Linked DNA regions of Arabidopsis thaliana. The protein of the gene in region 2 purifies or fractionates together with the protein of the main gene of each other region. This does not show direct contact. Each region holds a gene or a part of one and is shown on either strand. Other genes may lie near its edges.

Region 1 (4,181 bases), on a different chromosome or scaffold from region 2:
CCGTTTTCATTACTAAGTCCACGTACCTACGTGTTGTGTAAAGTTAAATACGTTAATGTGACATTGTGATGCATTAGTGTATACTTAAACTATAAACAAATATTTAGAGTCTTAAAAATCTTATCTTATTATATAAAGTATGGTTTTCAAAGTTTCTAACTCATAGGATCGTGTCCACGTGTCAAGTCAAACGATCAGATGTTTACATGTGTCATTTAAAATTTAACTTTTTTATTCTCTTAAAAAAATAGAAAATCTTAAAAAGTAAACAAATTTACATATGCTAATTAAGTTACTAACTCATAGAATCGTGCCACGTGTCAAGTCAAACGATCAGATGTTTACATTTGTCATTCAAAATTTAATTTTTTTATTCTCTTAAAAAAAATAGAATCTTATTATATAAAAATTAAGATACAAAAATTTAACTTTTTTATTCTCTTAAATTCAGCATCTGCTATTTAGGCGGGTCTAAGATACAAAAATTAAGTTTTATCGATAGAAATTTGTATAATAATCAATATATTTTTCTTGATATTTAATTTAATAATTATTGGTTTAAACAAAATTTCAGTCTTATCCATTCTATTTTAATTATACACACTCAATCTTATGAATGATATTTGAATTCTAAAAAGTAACCGATCATCATTCTATATTTAATTTAATATCTAGAAAAGAAAAAGAAAAAATAAATTTATATCTTACACATTCAATTTTGTAATACAGTTTAACTATCTATGTCATCATAATAAACTCGATTTAAATTCTACACACTTCATATTGAATGATAACATTTTCATATCAAAATAATATTTATGACATATCAAATCTATATCCTATTTAGTATTAAAAATAATTAAAAATTAACAAAACATAATTAATAGGCCTAGGCATAATACCCCAACCCTAAGAACCGATCCGAACCCGAACCCAAAATTTTCAAAGACCCGAGCGGTTCTGAACTTCAAAACCCAAAAAACCCGAACCTGAATAGGTATCCAAACATATCTCATATATAAGTATATATTAGTTATATTTATACTTGTATACAGAAAATATTAGGATTTTTTCGGATATTTTAATTATTTTTGTTTATTTTTAGATATATTCAAGCAAAACTACTCGTGTTGTTTTGGAAATATTTTAAAATTTTCAAGTAATTTAATAGATTTGCACACAAAATTTGATATTTTAATATATAAATAAACTCGAACCCTAACCCGACCTGAAATCTTAAATTACCCAAACGGGTCCTAAACTTCTAAACTCAAACCCAAAATAGCCGACCTGAACCTGACTCGAATACCAAAACGCTTAGGGCTAATACTTAATTAAAAAAATAAAAATCCACAAAAATATTTAAAACTAAACATTGTTAAAAATATATTTTTTATATATACGGTAATCTCTTAAGTTAATCTTACATCATACAAATTAATATCAAATGAGTTAAAATTAATAAATGAAAATATTCTCATTAAAAAAAATTGAAAAGTTAAATCCTATACGGGCCATGTCATCTCATTTCATTAATTCGTTAACGAAGGGTAATTTGGTAAGATCACATAGCACAACCTAAGGTTGCCGTCGTCGTCCTCTACCTCCGAAATGTTTCCCGTTCACATCGTTTTCGTTTTGTCCCCAAAACCCTAAAAATCTTCAACGCAGGGTTTAACGAATCAAACCTCAACGACGTCGTTTTACTCTTCTTCTTCTTCCTCTCTGTGTTGCGTTCCCTCTTTCACAAACTCACTGGTAAGCCATTTCCCTCTTACATCGGAATCCTGCTTTCGCATTTCTCAGCTTCGTCGTGATTTAATCGTAATTGGTTCAAATTTGTTGTAAACAACCCTAATTTCGAGGAATCATTTGCAATTCCCTCATTTTTGCAGACATCACATCCTTAGAGTCGTCCCAGAATGAACTCACTCGCCATTAGAGTCTCCAAGGTTCTCAGATCCTCTTCAATATCTCCTTTAGGTAATTCTTCTTTCTTATCACCTAAATCTTCTGCCTTTTTCTCAGAAGACTATCATTTGTTTCTTCTTGTGTTACTTTGATGTGTAGCAATAAGTGCTGAGAGAGGCTCTAAGTCGTGGTTCTCTACTGGTCCTATCGATGAAGGTGTAGAAGAAGATTTTGAAGAAAATGTTACAGAAAGGCCTGAGCTTCAACCTCATGGAGTTGATCCTCGTAAAGGTTGGGGATTTCGCGGTGTTCATAGGGTAAAAAGATTTGATCTTTAACACTTAAAAGTTATGCATTCTTAGCTGAAGAATATCAGAATCAAATTAGGCTTAGCTATAGCAAAAAACCCGATTGAAAAGGAACGGTTTTTATGTATGTGCCTTGAATAAGAGTTTGGAACTAGATTTCGATGATTTGAGTTATCTTGTTGCAATATCATTTCATATACTTATCAGCTTTTCAATGGCGTTCTTGCGGTTTTATGTCATTGTTGGTTTCCTTTGATTCATTCAGGCGATTATTTGTGGGAAAGTAGGGCAAGCACCGTTACAGAAGATCTTAAGGAACGGGCGGACAGTAACGATCTTTACAGTAGGAACAGGTGGGATGTTTGATCAGAGGCTTGTAGGAGCTACTAATCAGCCAAAACCAGCTCAGTGGCATAGAATCGCTGTGCACAACGAAGTGCTTGGCTCTTACGCTGTCCAAAAACTCGCTAAAAAGTAAGTTTTATTATATGCTTAACTATCTTGAACAAAGAAGAGTATTAACAATAGTTTAAGAGTTATAATTTCAGATTAACTAAGTGATAAATCCGTTGGTTAAGATATAATCAGCTCATATGTGTGTGAATGTGTAAAAGTGTACACAGAAACTCTTAAGTTGAATAATATCTTCTACATTATCTGTCTTCAATCTCTCTGTTTCGTCTTTAGTCGCTCTATGTAATGCTGGTAGCAATGTCTAAATAGGAAGTGAAAGGTGTAGGTTTTCATCTAAACTTCTTTGCTGGTGCTTTGTTACAGCTCGTCGGTTTATGTGGAAGGTGATATTGAGACTAGAGTGTATAATGATAGCATCAGCAGTGAAGTGAAGAGTATCCCTGAGATTTGCGTTCGTCGTGATGGTATGTATGTTCATATTGTTGATCCGGAACATCAATTTGTTGCTGAGTTACGATTCTCTTGCTTTGTTTTAGGTAAGATTCGGATGATCAAATATGGTGAAAGCATTAGCAAAATCTCTTTTGATGAGCTAAGTAAGTTATCATTTTTCATTCAGCTAATATTCGCAAAGAAAAAAGAGATAGTTGCTTGTGTTTTAATATTTGTTTCACATTTGGCAGAAGAAGGATTGATTTAGTCGGAGCAAGAATATTCCGGTGACCGGATGAGAGCAAACTGAATAAAACGTTTTTCTGAGTAAAATCGATAAAACAGTTTGGTTTTTTGTTCTGTCCATTGCGACTTTGTGAGCACTGAGTTCCTTTTAATGGATACCAGGGGGCATATTTATGTAGTTTCTGGTCAGAATTATTTGATGTATTGTTCTTCAGTGGATGTTTATATGGCAAAAAATGAGGAAGAACAAAGACGAAAAACAAAAGTGCTCACATTACGAATTGGGCTAAAAGACCCACACAAAATGAGACGAAGTGATATATAAAGACTTGGATTTCAATTTTAATGAGAAATATTTTACTCATCAAAATTGAAAGAAATATTCAGTAATAGCTTAAATGATATGACATTGTTTATTAGATTGTTGATATCTCTGACTCACACTCTAAGAACGATAACAAGGAGATCGCGAACTCTCAGAACATCAGAGCATAATTTCCCCGATAAGAATAGAGTTAGTATTTATAGAAGAAGAGCATTATTATATTGTTTAATACTTATTTACAATTACTTACCTTAGATACAAAAACAAAAATATTTTGTTATCTTTTAAATAAACAAAAAAAGTAGTGCTGATTTAGTATCTTATATTTGCTTTCAACTAATATTTTATAAAATATTAGTATATGAAAACATGAAATAAATTCTAATATCATATTATTCATTTTTTGTACTTTAATAGAATCAATAGTTAAATTAAATTTGTTGATTTTATGATTTTATGTTTATGCATAAGTTTATACAACTTATTCAACTAAATTTAAATAAGTTAATTTATATATGAGATGGATATAGTTTGTAACTAATGAA
Region 2 (4,452 bases):
GATTTCTTAAAAACAGAAAGAGAACTAAAAAACGTATCAACTGAATTGTTTTTAATTTAAAGTGTAACAGTTTAATTATTTTCTCGTTTAATTCAATTTGGCAATTATTTGGACTTCAAATCAAAATCAAAATGATTAATAATTATTTTACAAGAATATCTGATTGACAAGCTGTTAAAGTACAAAGTAAATAAGTGAGGACTTCCAACGAAATCTTTTCACAAACGGCGTCGTTTAAGCCGAAACTGTGATTACCTACCTTGTCCGTGGACTGGACCAAGATCCAATTCTTCTGGTCCAAGTACAAATAGGACGGCATGGCCGTGAGATTGAGCGAGGGTCAAGAGCTAATTTTGGTTGTTTTCGAGGTTCAAGTGGAAATCAAATTTTTCGTAGAGAGAAATAAACGAAAATATACAGTTTTTTTTGGTTCTGCTATAGTCATATTTTACACTCAAAATATTTTTTACAGATAATTTAAGGTAGTTCCCCTACTACCTAAGTATATTTTTTGATTCTTAATCACAGGAACATCTCTTTCTTTTACTTTATATTACGTTTGAATAAAATAGTGGAGTCAAAATTTCAAACGAAAAGTTATAAACTCGATAGTAGATAAACAATGTGTATCACAACAACATAGCTTAAAGTAGTTCCTACCATTAGAGCAGTAGAGAGGAAAACAAAGGACCTTATAATCATTCTTTTATATAATATTCCAATTTGTTGCTAATGCCTCGCAGATTCTTGAGATACAGTAGGCTGCGCTCAATGGATACTCTGAAACTGCATAAATCAAGAAACTTCTTTCAGATTTTTTGTTTCCTTCATTTAAAAACTTTTTTTTTGTTTTCCCTTAACAAAAGTATGAATGAAGGAAGAAGATTTACCCGACACAAATTCATCGATATAGTTGCAGTCTATTTTCCCGTGTGCCATTGCGCCTACCTGAAATGGTGAGACAAATAAGGTGTGGGTTTGCATAAGACCGATATATGGAGGTTGCAAGCTAAAGCCTATTACTACGTAAATTAAATGGACTTTGTGAAGAAGCTAGAGACTAGAGAGAAACATTTGGAGAGCACTAACCACAAAAACTGTGTCTCTATCATCATCACATACAGTAGCTAGGTGTTTCTGCATATTGACGAGTTTCTCAGAGCTATGCGAGAAGCCTGATATAAGAAAGAGACAATCCCTCTTTTTAGCTCACATAATCTGGATAAACAACAAAATGTAGGAGGAAACTAAAGTTTTTTTTTTGTTTTTACCTATTCTGTGGGAGTTAACCGGTAGATGATGTTCTTCGATAGGGTTCTTGACACACCGTAGAAGCTTCTCACGGCTGTTAACTGCAGTAATGCTCAGCTTTTGTAGCAGTTGCACTGCAAGACCAACAAATAGGATAAGAGACAGTAAAAACTGAGGAGGTTAAAGTAACAAAATATCAGAAAGGATGAGAGGAAAGTTGGACAACTAACACATGATTCCGGCAAATCGTTTGAAAGTTCTTGGTATACGAACATGTGGCTTAACTTCAAAAAGGACACCTTTTTCTGTTCTAACATAAACAGCTTTCAACCTCCCAGCTTTATTAACCGGACTATCCAAAATCATAAGAAGCGCCTGAAGAGGGAGATCCACTAAAGATGAGTCACAATTTGTTATAAGCTACCTAGATATGACATAACAGTTTTTAAGACCCTGACCTGATGAGTAATGTCTGGTCGGTAATCAGCCGGATTTCTGTTATTCTTTTTCAAGAAATTAGCATGATCATCCGAGTTCAGTAGCTGGTAAGTCTGCACACAATCAGTAATCACATATATTAGTACCATAAACAAACTCCGAGGCTTACTGTAATGCAAACATTCCTGCAGATTACCTTTCCAACTTTGGCAACTTCAAGAGAGGCCTTCTCAAGCACGAATACAATGCCAGACTTTTCCTTGTTAGGAGCATTAAGGACAATAGGTATCCCTCCCACAATATCCTCTGCTGCTGCAGTTGCTTCCACAGTTACTTCCTCCTCGTCATTATCTTCCTCTGCTCTTGAAGTGCTTTCTTTTTTAGCTTTCTTCGAACTTTCTCTTGCCTTTTGTTTTTGCTCAAACTTTGGTTGCTCCTCTACTTCATCTTCTTCCTTATCATACCTCTCTTCTCTCTCCTTTCTCTTGTTCACTTTAATCCCATACGGCCTCACCATCTTCCTTCAAAAATTTCTACACACAAATTTAAGTCAATCACAACACCACAGAGCTAAAGAATCAGATGCTAAAGAAATATACTACAGTGTCGATGAATTCATACAAAAACTAATCAAATTTCTTTAAGGTTATCGCTACTACAGAGAATCAACTCAATCAATCACAGTTCAGTAGAGCTTAAATTCGAAATTAAATCGAACCCTTTTATGAAAGACAGCTAAAAGAGAAAATAATCGCTTACCGGAACTTTTTGAGCTTGCGAAGAAATTCAAGTGAGCAGGCGACTGAATCCTGATAAACCCTAATTCGAAGTTAAAGGTAGGCGTTTTTTTATTTTTTGTTTTTTGTATTGTTTCACACAGATTATATAATCGTTTAAGGGCTTATTGTAGTAAAATAGGCCCATTAAGTTTTAGGGTTTTTAAAAGGCCCAGAAAAAGAAAAAGAGACCAAGAAACCTAGAATTGTGACCATCGACGTCGACTTTTGTTCTGCCGGAGAGCACGACCGCCTTATGTATTACAAGTGGTGTTTCTTTTCATTTTTATTTTTGGCTTCAATTTTTGCGTTTTCTCTGCAACTCGCCGTCAAGGGTAGAAGAATTAGGGGTTCCTGTTCTTAACTGCTTGAAGATGACGTCTTATGGAGATAGACTGAAGTCGACCTCCATTAATGGAGTTAAGTTATACAATGTTTCTTCTGCTCCCAATGTTCCTACTTGGCTTAATCCTAAGAAGCAACGAGCTCTCCGCAAAAACCCTCGTAAGTTTCACCTCTTGTTTCTGTCTCAGCTCTGAATCGTTAACCCCTTCATAAACCCTGTCTCTTAAAGGCTCGTCCTTTTTTTCTGTCTTCGATGTAAGATTATATGCAAAGAGTGGAGCTGATTCAGGAGTTGAAGTTTGAGACTGCCACTACTAGAATCAAAGCGACTCCAGACGGAGAGTATCTGATTGCTTCAGGTGCGTTTTCTTTCTTTGTAACTTCGATGCTATTGACAAGAAATAATGTTCTCTTGTGACTTTTCACTGATTTCGTTTTTGTTGAATTAGGCATATATCCACCACAGGTAAAAGTTTATGAGCTAAATCAGCTTGCTTTGAAGTTTGAGAGGCATTTGGACTCGGAAATAGTTGATTTCGAGGTACCTTTTATTGCTCCATGAGATGTGTCTTAACACCATTGATAGTAACTATCTTGTTTCTGGTTTTTTAGTATTGTGTTTTGTTGGCTCTACAGATATTGGATGATGACTTCTCAAAGCTTGCCTTCTTATGTGCTGATCGTTCTATTAATTTACACGCCAAATACGGGAAACACCACACTTTACGAATTCCAAGGTACTTTAGCTTTGTTGGTCTATGAGATATATCTTTCGTGGTCTAAAGCATTCACATATTTGCAGGATGGGGAGAGATATGACATATGATTCCTGGTCTTGTGATCTTCTTTGCGCTGCTTCCTCACCTGATCTATATAGAATCAATTTGGAGCAGGTACTTTCCAGTGAATTTATAATAGTTTAGTGTTGTGACCTATCTCAGTCTTTGTTAGAGAATGATTTGTGTTTTTTGCCTTCTTTCTGTTTAGGGAAGATTTCTTTCTCCTCTCAGCACTCAATCCCCAGCGCTTAATGTCGTTTCTCGAAGGTCTGTATACCGAACTGTCTTTTCTTTCTATTATGTTTCTTGATTTCATCTAGGAGAAAATTCGATTCTGGTACTCTAGATTATTATTGCTTACATTTGAGCACTATTTTCTTTCCAGCAACCTCCATGGATTAGTTGCTTGTGGTGGTGAGGATGGTGCTGTGGAATTTTTTGATATGAGAATGAAATCATCTGCTGCTAGAATTAACGCGGTCACACATGGTGGTGATGCTGCTGCGGTAATTTTTTCTAACTTGTGTTCCAAATAAACAGACTTTCTTAGCTTAGACGTCATGTGATTGGTGAAAATTGCATTGATTTCTGATGATCTTGTGCTTTAAATTGGCTAATAGGAGGTTACTGCTATAGAGTTTGATGACAGTGAAGGTCTTCAAGTAGCTGTCGGGAGTAGCGCGGGAAAGGTTTGATGCTATATTCATTTTTTTATCTGAAAGGTTTAAAACATTGGTAGGTCAATTTGATTATATAGATATGTTGTGTTGATTGTGCTGTTCGGTATCTGCAGGTATTCATATACGACTTGCGTACTTCAACTCCCATAAGAGTGAAGGATCACATGTAAGTCTTACTGTGTT

The links. The genes of interacting proteins can lie anywhere in the genome.
Region 1: the proteins of AT3G57000 (region 2) and MTSSB fractionate together in Arabidopsis thaliana (co-fractionation; one large-scale study listed by BioGRID). This does not show direct contact.

Annotation. Positions count from the first base shown.
Region 1 is NC_003075.7:6,753,972-6,758,152, reverse strand, and holds MTSSB (mitochondrially targeted single-stranded DNA binding protein), read left to right. Parts: upstream 1-1,557; 5' UTR 1,558-1,758; intron 1,759-1,895; 5' UTR 1,896-1,922; coding exon 1,923-1,983; intron 1,984-2,070; coding exon 2,071-2,228; intron 2,229-2,484; coding exon 2,485-2,693; intron 2,694-2,996; coding exon 2,997-3,097; intron 3,098-3,169; coding exon 3,170-3,229; intron 3,230-3,316; coding exon 3,317-3,333; 3' UTR 3,334-3,638; downstream 3,639-4,181. UniProt on the Arabidopsis thaliana protein: Binds to ss-DNA.
Region 2 is NC_003074.8:21,090,364-21,094,815, reverse strand, and holds AT3G57000 (nucleolar essential protein-like protein), read right to left. Parts: upstream 2,634-4,452; 5' UTR 2,449-2,633; intron 2,223-2,448; 5' UTR 2,207-2,222; coding exon 1,886-2,206; intron 1,803-1,885; coding exon 1,710-1,802; intron 1,627-1,709; coding exon 1,482-1,626; intron 1,386-1,481; coding exon 1,272-1,385; intron 1,176-1,271; coding exon 1,090-1,175; intron 949-1,089; coding exon 891-948; intron 787-890; coding exon 707-786; 3' UTR 519-706; downstream 1-518. Other genes in the region: EDA7 (embryo sac development arrest 7), read left to right, coding at 2,840-2,969, 3,071-3,169, 3,260-3,351, 3,447-3,547, 3,613-3,703, 3,798-3,856, 3,975-4,095, 4,210-4,278 and 1 more.